Canis lupus familiaris: one gene and its partner. The protein of the gene in region 1 interacts with the protein of each later gene in a pairwise test. Links are inferred from orthologs where the notes say so. Each region holds a gene or a part of one and is shown in the gene's direction. Other genes may lie near its edges.

Region 1 (6,257 bases):
GTCCACCCCCACCCCCCCATCTTGTTCTTTTCCAGCCTGAAGCTCGAATGTGACAAGCTGGCCAGCGAGAAGTCCGAGATGCAGCGTCATTATGTGATGGTAAGTAAGCTGGCCCTGGGCGGCGGGCAGGGCAGGGGGGCGCGGGGTGACCCTGGACCCTCCTCCACCCGCCCTGGCAGCTGCCTGCACCCGGCCACCTCCTTGGGATGGACGAGGATCGGGGTCCGCGCTCCATTCAGCCGGCCCCAGGGCCTGGCCCAGGCCGCCTCGCTGGCCTGGCCGCCCGCCCAGCCAGTGGCCCAGGTGCCAAACCACCGGGTTGCAGCCCGGGCCTGCCAGGTCCCCCGGCTGTCCTTGGCAGCAGAGGAGGCCGCTGCCGTGGAAGCCAAAGCCAGGAACTGACTGGGGGAGCGGCCGGATCCCTCCCTGCCCCCACAGGCCGGGCAGTTAACCCCTCCCTGCCTGAGCTTCAGCAGGAGGGGGGGGGCAGCCGCCGCGGGCAGGAAGCTGACATCCTGGGAGGGGGAGGGAAGGGGTGACACTACATTCTTTGCCTGACATTTGAGATCCTGCCTGGATCCATCCCCGCCAGGTGGCAGTCCCTACATCTAAAAGCCCCCCTCCTTGGCCCAGCCCAGAGCCCAGCTCTCCCAGGCTTGGCTGGGCACTGACCCTCCTGGCCCTGGAGGGATAGGGAGGGGGCGAGAGAGAGCTATGGGGGACTGGGGGATTCCCCAGGGGGGGCTCACTGCCCCAAGCGGGGGCACTGCAGCTCGGGTCTTGAAGAATGAGTAGGAGCTTGCTGGACAGAGAAGAAGAAACCACGGAAAGTCCTGGGGATGAACTTGGCTGCCCCTGCCCCACCCCCAGGGATGATGGGGAGCCATGAGGGGGTTTAGAGGAGGGGAGGAGGCAGGGTCAGATCTGGGGCGTGAGGGGGGTGCTGCTGACCCCAGAGCCAGACCCAGCAGGCTTTGTTTATCCTGGTTATTTATACCCAGGAAGGCCAACTTCCCTGGAGTCTGGGGCCACCCGCAGACAAGACACATAAAGATAAAAGATTAGGCGCCCTGGAATGTATGTGTGCTGGAGAGGGGGCTGGATAATTACTCCAGAAGCCAGGGGAGCCCGGCCAGGCTGGGGCCAGGCTGGGGCCAGGCTGGGGCCCTGACGCTTCCCCAGCTCCCCGCAAGTGGCCCCATGAGGGGCCAAGACCCTGCTCCCGCATGCGCGCCCCACCTGCCCTCGTCCTCCCACACTGTGCGTCCCATCCTTGGCCCACCCCATTTCTCTCTCTGTCTCCCCACCACGCAGTACTACGAGATGTCCTACGGCTTGAACATCGAGATGCACAAGCAGGTAGGCCACCACCCCAGGCAGGTGGGCCCGCCCCTTGGTGACCCCCAGGTCTACCCCCCTATCCTGTTACCTTCCACACCCCTCTCCCTGTTCTTTCTCCGGCCTCCCCCAAACTACCACCCCCACCCGGCTGACTCCTGTGGGAGGGGGTGACACGCCAGCACACTGAGAACCCCCAGACTGCCCCTCGCCCTCCGGCCCCCTGAGGTCGGCCAATATCAGGGATGTCCTAAGAACTGTGCTGTGGGCCACCCTCTCCCCCATGCTGGGTGGCATCTTCCCAGGGCCACCCAGTCCCCGAGCCTGGACTCCCGGTTGGCCCCAGAGCCCACCTTTGCCTCCGACTGGGTGCCCATAGGCTTGAGGTGCTGATGCGACCCGGGGCCCAGTTGGGCTCCTCTCAGCCGGAACCCCGCCAGCTACTGGGGCTGGTCTGCACCTGCCCCTGCCGCCTCCCCGCCGCCTCCCCTGCACTGAAGCCTCTGTGTGTTGCAGGCCGAGATCGTCAAGAGGCTGAATGGGATTTGTGCCCAGGTCCTACCCTACCTTTCCCAAGAGGTGAGTGGCACCCCCGGGGCTGAAGGGAGGAGGAGGTGGTTGGGCCATGAACTTGCCCGGGCCTCCCCCCACCCCGACCCCCGCCCACGGCCCTCTGGGGCAGCAGCTGCTGGGTGCCCAGGGCACACGCCTCCCCTCTCTGGACCTCCCAGACACAGAAGATCCGCAGATCGGAGGAACCCCAGGGGCACAGGGCAGTACAGGGAGGGGCCTCACCCTGCTGTGGAATTCCCAGCCTGAGTGAGTCATTTCGTGGGTGAAGACGTCAGATATGCCAAAGGCTGCACCAAGGATCTTTTTTTTCCCTTTCTTGCTTCTGCCTTTTTCCCTTCTGAGATCTGTGTGCCAGGCCCCTGGGGGCCGCCTCAGGCCAGAAACCAGGGGCCGCATGTTCGGGGAGGGCACTTGCACACACACGTGCACACAGAGGCAGGCGTGCACGGGCTCAACACAGATAGATGAGGCTCGCACGCGCACCTGCAGACACAGGTCTGCACGCACATGAACGCAGGGACGCGTGGACACGCACCCCGGGGAACCACGCACTGAGCTCTTGCTTTGGCTTTTTGTTTTTTGTTTTTTAAGATTTTATTTATTTATTCCTGAGAGACACAGGCAGAGAGAAAAGCAGGCTCCCTGCGGGGAGCCCAATGTGGGACTCGACCCTGGGACCCCAGGGTCACCACCTGAGCCAATGGCAGATGCTCAACCATTGAGCCAACCAGGCATCCCGGCTTTTTGGGGTTTTAAGACCGTTGGTGTGAGGCCCATTCCATCACCGGAGCCATTCCTGCCCTCTGCCAGGCTTCCTGTCCATAATTTATCATTTCCTCTTGGATTCCTGACCATGTCTTGGGGCCCTTTGGGTAACCTGCTTGCCCAGAGACAATTCCAGAAGGATACTATGAAAACCCTAGAGAAGGGGGTTCTTGGGGCTCTGATAGACCTAGACTTGTGCTTTCCTTTCATGACAGGAACTTCTTGGTAGGCAAGGCAAAAAGGGAAACTGGCAGGAGAAACAGACTTTCAGGGAGTGCTCGGGTGTGGGAGGGATTGCCCTGAACCCAGAATCCACTGGGCCTTCCCCAGTTGTGCAAGGAGAGGATCTTGGATTAGCAGATCTCAGAGGCACAGGCTGCAGGCTCTTAGGATCAGGTCTTCTCTGTATGGTTGGCCAGGTTGTGCACTGTTCATTGACTCCTTTGCACATGGCATTGAATAGGTCATGGTCCGGGGTTTCTCTCAGACTCCCCTAATGGCATTTTCTTCAGTATCTGGCACCAATCCCCTTGGGTCTTCTTGAATCTGTCATTTGTCCCCATTTTCCAGAGGAAGAGACTGGGGCTTGGTGAACAGAAGCGGCTGGAGGGAGGGGTTTTTCGGGGGCAGGGAGGGTGGCTCCTCTTGGGCTCTGTGCCCCAAACCTGCACAGAGATCGGGGCACAGCACCTGGCTCCTCTGTCTCTACCCCATCCCCCTTCCAGCACCAGCAGCAGGTCTTGGGAGCCATCGAGAGGGCTAAGCAGGTCACCGCTCCCGAGCTGAACTCCATCATCCGAGTACGTCTGGGCTTTGGGTGGCCTTGGGTGGGCCTTGGGTGGGCAGGGGCCCCAGGCAGCTAATGCTTCCCTCCGTCTGCCCTGCAGCAGCAGCTCCAAGCCCATCAGCTGTCCCAGCTGCAGGCCCTGGCCCTGCCCCTGACCCCACTGCCCGTGGGGCTGCAGCCACCCTCGCTGCCCGCCGTCAGTGCCGGCACCGGCCTCCTCTCGCTGTCTGCGCTGGGCTCCCAGGCCCATCTCTCCAAGGAAGACAAGAACGGGCACGACGGTGACACCCACCAGGAGGATGACGGCGAGAAGTCGGATTAGCGGGTGGCGGGGTGGGGAGGGTGGGGGGGCGAGGGGACACAGACATGGAGAGAGGAACATTTAGCGCAAGACACAGTGTAGCTCGGGATTGGCTGAACTCGGTAGTATTTATGGTAGCCGCCTGCTGGGGTCCTAGCCCTGCCTGTGTGCCACCCCTAGCTTCTCACACCCCCGGCTCCAGCCTCCCTCCTCCTCCTCCCTCTCCCCTCCTCCCCGCCCCCCCTGCAGCCGGAGTGGGCCAATACCTGCCCATTCCACCCGGGAGGTAAGCTGAGGCCTGGAGGCGCACAGGGGAGGCCAGGCCCGAAGACAGCAGAGCCTCCAGAAGCCCAGCACCCCCGCACCTCCCCGCCCGCGCCCGCCGGGCCCCTCAGGGCGCGCCCCCAGCCTCCCACCCTGGCACTGCATGCAAACACCACGCTAGCTGCCCCTTCCCGCCCTGGGCACCCCGCGTCCCTCCCCCCTCACTCCCCTCCTCCTCCGCAAGGCTAGTTCCAGAGCCCACGCCCACCGCTCCTCTCCCCTGCAGGAGAGGGGGCGGAGAGAGGGAGCCTAGCCAGGCGCAGGGGTGGGGGCGGGCGGGCGTCCCAGAATTCCCTTTCTCCCCTTCCCCAATAAAGATGAGGGTACTCAAGTTGTCTTGGTTTTTATTTTATTTTTTTCCTTTTTCCAGTACACTAGCTTGTCTTTTAAGAAAAGGGATATTTAAAAAAAAAAAAGAAAAAAAGGACAGAAAAATGTTTTAAAAAAACAAGCAACACCCACACCTGTGTCTGTATATAGCCTTTTAGACTTGTCAGCTTTTGTTGTGTAGAGTCGTTTGATCGCTGCGGAGAGAAGGGAGACTGCTGTACCGAGGGTGGGCTTAGCTGTGCCTTTCAAATAAAGATGTGAGAAGGTTGGTTGCCTTGTTCCTGCCTCTGTGTTGTGGGCTGCCGCGGTGCCCCCCTTCCCAGGGGAGGAGGGGGCTTCCCTCGTGTCTGAGCTCCCTCCTCCTGACGGGCCGGATCCGGAGAGTCCCCGTGGGGGTGGGGGGTCCGGCCTGTCCCTGTAGTCTGTCTCCCGAACTGATGCCCAGACCGGAGGGGCAGCTGGAGGCTCTGGGTCACACAGCCCGGCCCAGGGGCCTGAAGCGGAGCTGACCCGGCTTCCCATCCCCAGGCCAGAGGGCTCCTCGGTGCCATTCTTTTCCCTTAGACACCAGACTTTGAGCCCGCAGGACCCACGCCCACTGCATCCCCACTCTGCCCATTTGGCCAGATCAGAGAACACACAGCGCCCCCCCCCCAGCTGAACCAGACCCTCCGAGGACCTGTCCAAGGCGTCCCTGCCACGCCCCAGCTGGACCACCCAGGGGAACCCCAAGGAAGGCTATCAAGAGGCCTCCGGCTGCCCCCCCAGGGAACGGGGCAAGGCTGAGGATGAGGCAGGGCGGGCAGTGTAGATTGCAGACCCTAAGGGACCCGGGCACCCAAGGGACTTCTGGACTCCGAGAAACTCCCACCTGCCCCAATCCAGTGGGTTCCCAGGTTGGACCAAGGGCACAGGGAGGGGGGTTGGGGTGGACTGCTTACCTCTGGGGAAGTGGCTCAGGTCCCCGAGGAAAGAGAGGCCGAGGGGGGGCGCGTGACCCGATGGTCCCACCAGCCGCCTGCTGTGCCCCAGCAGTCCACCACCGCAGCCGGAGCCCCTCCAGAAATGCCAGCGTGCTGGGGTCCCTCCCTGCCTACCAGTCATCCTTGTGCCAAAAGCCCAAACTCGCCCAGGACCCTGGGAGAGCGTAAACCTTTTGCAGCGCCAGTTGTCACAGCTACTTGGAAGGCTACCTGGGCCCCACCTCGCGATTCCCCTGCTCCTGGATCTGTGTCCCGGCAGACTGGCCACCACCGCCGGGCCACTGCCCCCACAAAGACACGAACGAGGGCGTTCAGAGCTGCTGTCCCCAGTCACCGCTTCCCCGGACTGGAAACCACAGCAGAACAGACGAGCCGTGACCTAATCGTGCCTGGAACACGATGCAGCCGCGAAGAAGAGCGAGGCCCGGCTCCGCCGACACCGCCCACCGCATCTCGCGCACCCTTTAACAAGGCAAGCCGGGTACAAACGCGTAAATACCGAACGTCCCATTTCTACCAAGAACAAAGTCAAGGGATCCCTGGGTGGCTCAGCGGTGGAGCGTCTGCCTTCGGCCCTGGGATCGAGTCCCACATCGGGCCCCCCGCAGGGAGCCTGCTTCTCCCTCTGCCTGTGTCTCTGCCTCTCTCTGTGTGTCTCTCATGAATAAATAAAATATTAAAAAAAAAAAAAAGAACAAAGTCAAGCCCAGGTGACCTACAGTGGCAGGTGTCATGGGGTTACCCTTGGCAGGGGGGGCCACAGGGGGACTTCTAACGGGGCTGCCCATGTTTCATTTCTTAACTGGGGGGGGGGCTCAGGACACGGGTGTGTGCGCTTTGCAATCATCAACTTGTT
Region 2 (7,544 bases), on another chromosome or scaffold:
CGCTCTGCAGGTGGCCATCGAGTTTGATGAACATATCAACGTGGCTTTCAGCTGTGTGTCCGCCAGCTGCCGCATCGTGCATGAATATATCGGGGGCTACATTTTCCTGTCAACCCGAGAGCGGGCCCGTGGGGAAGAGCTGGACGAGGACCTCTTCCTGCAGCTCACAGGAGGCCATGAGGCCTTCTGAGGCCTGTCTGATCGCCCCCACTTTGCTCACTGCCTGCTATGGCCACTCCTAAGCCCACACTCTCTCCAGACATGTACTGAGCTGGCACATTCACCTGCTGTCACTGGCTTTATGCAGACCAGGGACCTAATTGGGCCAGACTCTGCCATCCCCTAGGCTAGGGAGAGTGGATTATGAGCTCGAACAAGGTCCGCCCTTCCCTTGTCTAAGTGGCCAAGACTAATACCCTGAGCACAGGAGGAAGACCAGCTGTAACTACAGGATGAGGATAATTCATGGTTTCAAACTGGAGCTTCTTTTTTTGTTACCTTTTAAACTTTTTTTTAATAAATATTTTATTGTTGGATTATCCTTCTTCCTCTGGAGCTATGCTTGGGGGCCACTCTGACACTCTGTCTCTTCATTACCAGCCAAGGAGAGGGACTTTCCTGAGATAGAGACAAGAGGTTAGGAATGGGAGACCCATCAGCCTGGGGCTGGGAGCTGGGAAGGAGATGGCAGAGGGCACAGGCTCAGGCACCCCGAATAGGAGTAAGGTGGTGGTTCTCACGAGAAGGGCGGAGCTGCAGGGCCTCCTTGAAATACTTGGGAAGCAGGAAGCCATCAGCATTCCCTGGAGTCAGGATCACTCCATTGGCCGAGCGGAAGAAGGGGATTCCATCTGCAGACAAAGCCAGAGATGTAACTCCTATCCTCTCTGAAGCCCTAGGGCAGTCCTGCTGTGTCCAGACTCACCTGCCAGGGCCAGGGGCCCATCAATCAGCACAGCCACTTCACAATTTGGTCGCATGCCTGCAGAGACAATTGGAGCTGGGACCTGGGGCATGTGGAGTTGCAGTCATCAAACCTGGGCAGGCTCAGTGGAAGGTCCTGGGCTCAGGGGGGGATGGGGTGACTACAGCATGCAGAGCATGGAATGGCCTTAGATGAGAGAAGCTATGATACTTGGAGAGGGACCTGGTAGGACAACAGCTGGGGAGGGCCACTGACCACTGATGACACCAGGATCCCCAGGAAGTCCTGGGGCCAGGTGAATATGTGTCCTTCCCCGGCAGGACAGACCCTTGAGCAGGATGGATGGCCAGTGCTGCCAGAATGTGCCATGGACAAGCATGGGAGGCAAGGCCTGTGGGGTCTCCAGGGGCATCAGCTCCAACTCCGGTACCTGGGATGGGTTGGGGAACAGACAGCAGTGAGACCCTCTCCCTGGAGGGGTCCCACATGGTTCTCTCACTTGTCCCCTTAGCTCCCACCTGCAGGGAGTGACCCTGATTTGCCCGGATGAGAGGGCCAGTGCTGGGGTCCCCTGGCTGCAGGGCAAACCGCTGCTTCCGGTTGGTATCCACCACGCGCTGCACATCTTCAGCAGAGAAGCTGTGGAACTGGGGCAGCTGCAGGAGGGTGTCCAGGGGCACGAAGCCATCTGCAGGCAGGCAGGGTGCTCAGGAGCTGAACTTGTTCTGGCCTGGGCCAGAGTTAATAGGGCGAGCCACAGGTAACCAGAACAGAGTCTGGGCTTAGGGTTTATCTGTGAGAGTCTCCCCTTTCCGGGCCTCTCTTTCCTTAACTTACATGGGAGTAGGATCTGGCTTGGGGAGGGTCACAGGATAAGGGACTCTTCTATAGCATAGTACCCTGCCCAGAAAGGACTCAATAAACACCAGTTACCTTGACACCCCCCAACCCCCGTACCCACTCTTGGGTGTTTACTGGGCCACATGCACCATTAGTATTGCTGGGCCTGGACTAGACGGAAGGTCCTCTCCCAGTTTGCTCTAGACAGGATATCGGGCTCTGGGCCTCGGTGTTCCTTGCACGTGGAGGGGATGTGCCCTCTGTGCTGTCCCCATAGGGCCATGGGTCAGGCAGTCACAGATAGGCTCACACTGCTCCCTCATCTCCAACCACTCACCTCAGTCTTCAAGACTCTCACTTACCAGCCCTCATGGGAAGCCCCAGCTTCAGAGCCCCGTGACGCAGGGCATAGGACAAAGCCTTGGACAGCTGTACATCTCGGTCCTGTAAGAGCCCAGAGGTGACCCCTGGTCCCTGTAGTGATGCTGCCCTGCTGCCCACCCTGCACTCTGGGTGACCTGCTGCAGAGGGAGGCCACAGGGAAAGGAATCCCCACTTTCTGGGAAGAGAGTGTGTGACGCATCAGCCCCCATTCCCACCCACCAGCATATTCCAGAGAGTTAGGGCATAAAGTCCTCCTCCAATTACCACCAAGAAAGTGGGGATTAGGATGGGGTGGGCACACCTCTTCCCGGGGCCTGTGAGGCCTGTGAGCCCTTCGACTCCGGGGTCCTGTGGTTTCCGGCCTCCTTCCTCCAAGGGAGCTCATGGCTAAGACCTGAGGGGAACAGTGATGGGCGGGGACTGTCGAGGACCCTCTCCTGTCCCCACCCAGCCCAGCAAGTCACGAAGGACCAGTGAGCTGCGAAGGGGCTATTCAGCTCCTTAAACTCACTTCCCACCCATCCCCAACTCCCTAGTGCAGATGGGGAAGCTGAGGCCCAGGGAGCAAGATTGGCCCAAGGTCACACCGTGTCCCTCGCGAATCCCAGGGAAGCCTGCAGCCCCGCAAGGCGGCGGAGCGTCCCGGCTGACCGGGCGGGGGGAGCCCCGGGCCCCAAGGTCAGACGGCGCGGGCGGGCGGCAGCCGGGGACCGCGGAGGCGCAGGGAGCGGCCAATGGGAAGCCGAGGGCGGGGCCGGGCACTTCCGCCTCGGGGAAGGGGCGGGGCCTGCGCGGGGGCGGGGCCGAGAACCGGCTGCAGCTTGGAGCTTCCGGGTCCTGCGCGGGCTCCCGGCGCCTCAGGGTTGGTGGCAGGACCCTGGGTCTGGGGGAAGTGGACACGGAGGGGTGACCGGACTCAGCACCTCTGGGTGGAGGAGATGCGCGGGATTCCCAGGGCTGGCCGGCGGCGGGAATCTCGGGGCTCTCGCAGGGCCTTATAAGACACGCTCCTGCCCAGAGCGTGGTCACGGGGGTGCCCTAAGGAGGTCTGCGGCGGAGGCGCCCAACTGCCGGGCCCAAGGGTCGCCCTGGGGCGCTCGGGGTGACAGGCCCGGCTGTGTCCTCCCCCAGAGCTGCCCTGTCCAGACCATGGACCCCGAAGTGTCCGTGCTGCTGCAGTGCCCGCCGGGGGGGCTGCCAGAGGAGCAGGTGCGGGCTGAGCTGAGCCCAGACCATGACCGGCGCCCACTGCCAGGAGGGGACGAGGCCATCGCCGCCATCTGGGAGAGCCGCCTGCAGGCTCAGCCCTGGCTCTTTGACGCCCCCAAGTTCCGCCTGCATTCAGCCACCTTGGCTCCCACTGGCTCACAGGGGCCACGGCTGCTCCTGCGCCTGGGCCTCACTTCCTACCGGGACTTCCTGGGCACTAACTGGGCCAGCTCAGCTGCCTGGCTGCGACAGCAGGGGGCCACTGACTGGGGTGACAAACAAGCCTACCTGGCGGATCCGCTGGGGGTTGGTGCCACACTGGCCACTGCAGATAACTTCCTGGTCTTCCTGCGTCGGTCTCGGCAAGTGGCCGAGGCACCTGGGCTGGTGGATGTGCCTGGTGGGCACCCTGAGCCTCAGGTGAGATGCCAGGCTGGGTGCAAAGGCACAAAGGCTCAGCTCAGCTTTGCTTTCCTAATCCCTTAAAGGGAGGAGGGCGTTTGGGGTTGGCCTGGTGCTTCTCTGAAAGACTGCTCCGGGCAGCACCTCACCCTCCCCACTGACCTCTGATTCAGACCTGTGGGAAGCTAGGGAATGATGGGGGTGGGGTGGGGAGCAGAGGACTAGCTGGATCTCTGGTGGTCCATATTAAAATGGTGGGCCTGGGTCAGGGGATCACCGAGACTCTTACTCTGTGCCTAACCAGGCCCTCAGGGCCAGCAAATATGGGGGGAAGCAGGGTGGGAAGAGACGGAGAGCAGGGGCTGAGCCTGACCTCTCCTAGGCCGTGTGCCCTGGTGACAGCCCCCTGCACAAGGACCTCCCTGGGGAGCTGGTAGTGCATGAGCTCTTCTCCAGTGTCCTCCAAGAGATCTGCGATGAGGTGAGTGAGGGGTGGCCCAGACAATTGGGCAAGAAGGGAGGGGGTACAACATGCCAGAATTCCACAGGTGTGGCCTGGCAGGAGGGTCTGCAGGCATCTGGCATTGGGGGAAGGGCTTGGCTTTACAGCTAGGCATAAGGGGAATCCTAGCCCTCATATATCTGTGTGCCCCCAAGCTCTTCCTTTTTAAAATGGGAGTAATAAATGTCTTGTCTACTACCCCTCTATCCTTCCCCTGTTTGTTGAAAAGAGCTGTAAATGAGAGTCTTAGTTACTTTGGCCTTCCCTTGGGTGACCCTGAGCAAATTGTTTGGTCTCTGCTTTCTCATCTGTAATATGAACATGCCCAAGATCTGACATTTTGTGACTCTGGACGCTTGAACTACAAACTATAAAATGCTGTACAAGGGTAATGTTCTCCACTGAGAGGGGCAGGGATGTGGGCCACGGGCACTGACAGGTGGACCCCCTGCACCAACCAGGTGAACGTGCCACTGCCCACCCTGAGCCAGCCGCTGCTGTTGGGCATTGCCTGCAATGAGACCAGTGCCGGCCGTGCCAGTGCCGAGTTCTATGTCCAGTGAGTGAGCTCTGGGCTACAGGGTCCTGGGTCCTGGGGTAGGCGGGTGCTTCAGGGGAATGGCTGAGACAGCTGGGATTCCATGAGGACATTCCAAGGGCCAGGCACTCTCCCAAGCCACTCTCCTGTCCTTTTCCAGGTGCAGCCTGACTTCTGAGCAGGTAAAGAAGTTCTACACCAGTGGGGGAGCTGAGGCCCACGAGTCGACGGGAATCATCTTTGTGGAGATACAGGTGTTTAGTGCCAGAGTGTATCTTGCTTGGACAAGGAGCTGATGATGCACAGGCCTGGTGATGCATGTCTACCTCCCTGGGGCTGGGTCAGATAGGGCTGCTAAATCTCTTAGAGCTTTCCTCCAGAGCCACAAGGCCTCCTTGAGGATGCCCTCAGCCCAAGAAGCCAGGAGCCTCTTCACCTAGGGACGGTGAAGTGCAGAGGGATCTGAGGCTCAGGAACACTGGGCACAGCTCCCGCAAGAGACCTGAGGGCTGGATGTCAGGGATCTTACTTTCTCCCGCAGAGAGTGCAGAGGTTGCAGGAGACCAAACTGTGGGCTGAGCTCTGCCCCTCGGCCAAAGGCGCTATCTTCCTCTACAACCAAGTCCAGGGAAGTCCCGCCTGAGTCATCCTAGGGCCCCCAACCCTAGCACAACCTGGAAGACAATAAAGGACTTTATTCTTGGATTCCGTTGGCATCTGCTGGTTCCGTGAGACAGAGATGGACCGGTGGGTGAGACTGGATAAGTGTCTTGGGAAACAACCCCCACCACCCAGCCTCAGTTTTCCCCTCTGCAAACTGGGGTGAGGACCGCGCCCCCTTGCCCCGCTGTGGTGAGGGCCCGAGCTTCCCATGAGGTGGAAGCTGCTTTATGAAAGATGTCTCGCTGGAAAGCCCAGTAACATCCCTGCCGGAGACCGCGCCGGACGCTGGGTGGGCGGGGCAACATCCCTCCAGTTTCGCGAGCGGGAGCCTGAGGCTCCGCGGGCCTCCACGTCGTTGGGTGGGCCCGAGGCGCCAAAGGCCAATGGGCGTGCGGGGGTGTGGCCTTTGACGCACTTCCGGGCCTTCCGATTCGGTGGGTGTAGCTTGGGCGTCTAAGCCAATGAGAGCGCGGGGGCGGGGCTCGCATAGGCGTAGGGGGCGGGGCCTGGCAGGCCCCTCCTTCCCCCGCCGCCAAACTCCCAGGGTGGAGAGGGGGTCCCGACGTCTGGGACTGGTTGTCTGGGACACCAAGACCAGTGGGGGAAGCGATCCGGACCCCCGGGCTAGCGGCAGGGGCAAGTCCAGGTCACTGGGGTCTGGGCCTGAGTGAAGGAGGCCTCACCGCCCCTGGGTCCTCTAAAGCTGGTTCCGTTTGCCGACGCTAGTAAAAGGAGCCAGGCCCTTCCCTTTCCCCCCGGAGTGCTCGAAGTGTGGTCCCATCCTGGTCCCAATGCACTTTGTGGCCTCCTTTCATCAGCCGCCTGCCAGTCGCCATGCTGTCCCTGTGCCTGTGCCGGTTCTGGCCCCGCAGCCCTTCCACCCGGCTCTTCTCGGCGGCCACCAGGCAGCGGTGAGTCGGAGGCCGGGGAACCCCCGGGGAAACCCCCCCCCCTCCCCGGCAGTCAGTGGGTTTTCGTTGAGGAAGGCCTGCCCAGCTCCAGGCCTGGACCTAGGTACTAAGATAGTTGTGATCTCTCTACTCTGTGTCAGGTGCCTTACAGGCTTATTTCAGGTAACCCTCACTTTGACTATAGAGGACACAAGATCAAAGATGAAGAGACGACCCTCAAGGTCATACAGCCAGTTAAGAGGCAAAAGTGGAATTTGAGCCCAAGCCAAACTCAGTGCTCTTTTCACGACTGTCGTGGTCGTGGTCGTCGAACATCAGCATCACTGCAGAACTCACTGGAGGTGTAGGGGCGGAGGTGGCTTACAAAAATGCAAATTCCTAGGCCTTGTTCTGGAGATTCTGATCTGCAGGAATGAAGTGGGTTTTGGGAATCTGTGTGTGTGTGTGTTAAGATTTTATTTATCTATTCATGAGAGACACACAGAGAGGCAGAGACCTAGGCAGAAGGAGATGCAGGCTCCATGCAGGAGCCCGATGTGGGACTTGTTCCCAGATCCCAGGATCACATCTGAGCCAAAGGCAGACACTCAACTGCTAAGCCACCCAGGCGTCCCAGGAATGTTTTTAAACAAGCTTCCTGGGTGTTTCTGTTTAAAGGGGTCTGAGGGCTACACATGGAAATGTTCTGATCTGCCCATACTTGAAATACTCAAAAGGGGAGGGATGATTTGGAGATGGATCTCCCTTGGCACCAGCCTCAGCTTCCTCACCTCCTGGTTTCTTTTTCTCTCTCTCTCTCTTTTTTTATCTTCCTCCCAGTTTCTGAGTTGAGGACTGTGGCCCAGAGGTGCTGGGAGGGGGAGGGGAGGAAGAGCCTCTGTGTTTCCACAGCCCTTGCAGTTTCTGGCCTATTTCCACAGGTCTGGCCCCAGGAACTACTATGAACTGTTAGGGGTGCATCCTGGTGCCAGCACTGAAGAAGTTAAACGAGCTTTCTTCTCCAAGTCCAAAGAGGTACCAGTGGTCCTAGGCGGGGAGGAGGGAGGATAAGGCTGAGCAGATAGGGTACACTTCAGATTGCCAGGAGTGGAGCCGAGGGGCTCACTCTGGATGGTGCCACATTCCCTTAGCATGTATAGAGAATGGCAGGTGCCCCAAGAGCAGTGGTCT

The links. The genes of interacting proteins can lie anywhere in the genome.
Region 2: the proteins of TLE5 (region 1) and NUDT22 interact in binary tests that used the Homo sapiens proteins (3 or more experiments, as listed by UniProt). The two-hybrid records come from large-scale screens. The link is inferred for Canis lupus familiaris from reciprocal best matches to the Homo sapiens genes TLE5 and NUDT22.

Annotation. Positions count from the first base shown.
Region 1 is NC_049241.1:56,591,198-56,597,454, forward strand, and holds the end of TLE5 (TLE family member 5), read left to right. Parts: intron 1-35; coding exon 36-99; intron 100-1,314; coding exon 1,315-1,359; intron 1,360-1,854; coding exon 1,855-1,917; intron 1,918-3,401; coding exon 3,402-3,476; intron 3,477-3,563; coding exon 3,564-3,785; 3' UTR 3,786-4,687; downstream 4,688-6,257. UniProt on the Homo sapiens protein: Transcriptional corepressor. Acts as a dominant repressor towards other family members. Inhibits NF-kappa-B-regulated gene expression. May be required for the initiation and maintenance of the differentiated state.
Region 2 is NC_049239.1:53,334,352-53,341,895, reverse strand, and holds NUDT22 (uridine diphosphate glucose pyrophosphatase NUDT22), read left to right. Parts: upstream 1-2,932; 5' UTR 2,933-3,011; exon of another isoform or gene 3,012-3,178; intron 3,179-3,280; 5' UTR 3,281-3,298; coding exon 3,299-3,778; intron 3,779-4,142; coding exon 4,143-4,241; intron 4,242-4,723; coding exon 4,724-4,821; intron 4,822-4,960; coding exon 4,961-5,054; intron 5,055-5,341; coding exon 5,342-5,443; 3' UTR 5,444-5,505; downstream 5,506-7,544. Other genes in the region: FERMT3 (fermitin family homolog 3), read left to right, coding at 11-190; DNAJC4 (dnaJ homolog subfamily C member 4), read left to right, coding at 5,540-5,547, 6,282-6,374, 7,295-7,388. UniProt on the Homo sapiens protein: Hydrolyzes UDP-glucose to glucose 1-phosphate and UMP and UDP-galactose to galactose 1-phosphate and UMP. Preferred substrate is UDP-glucose.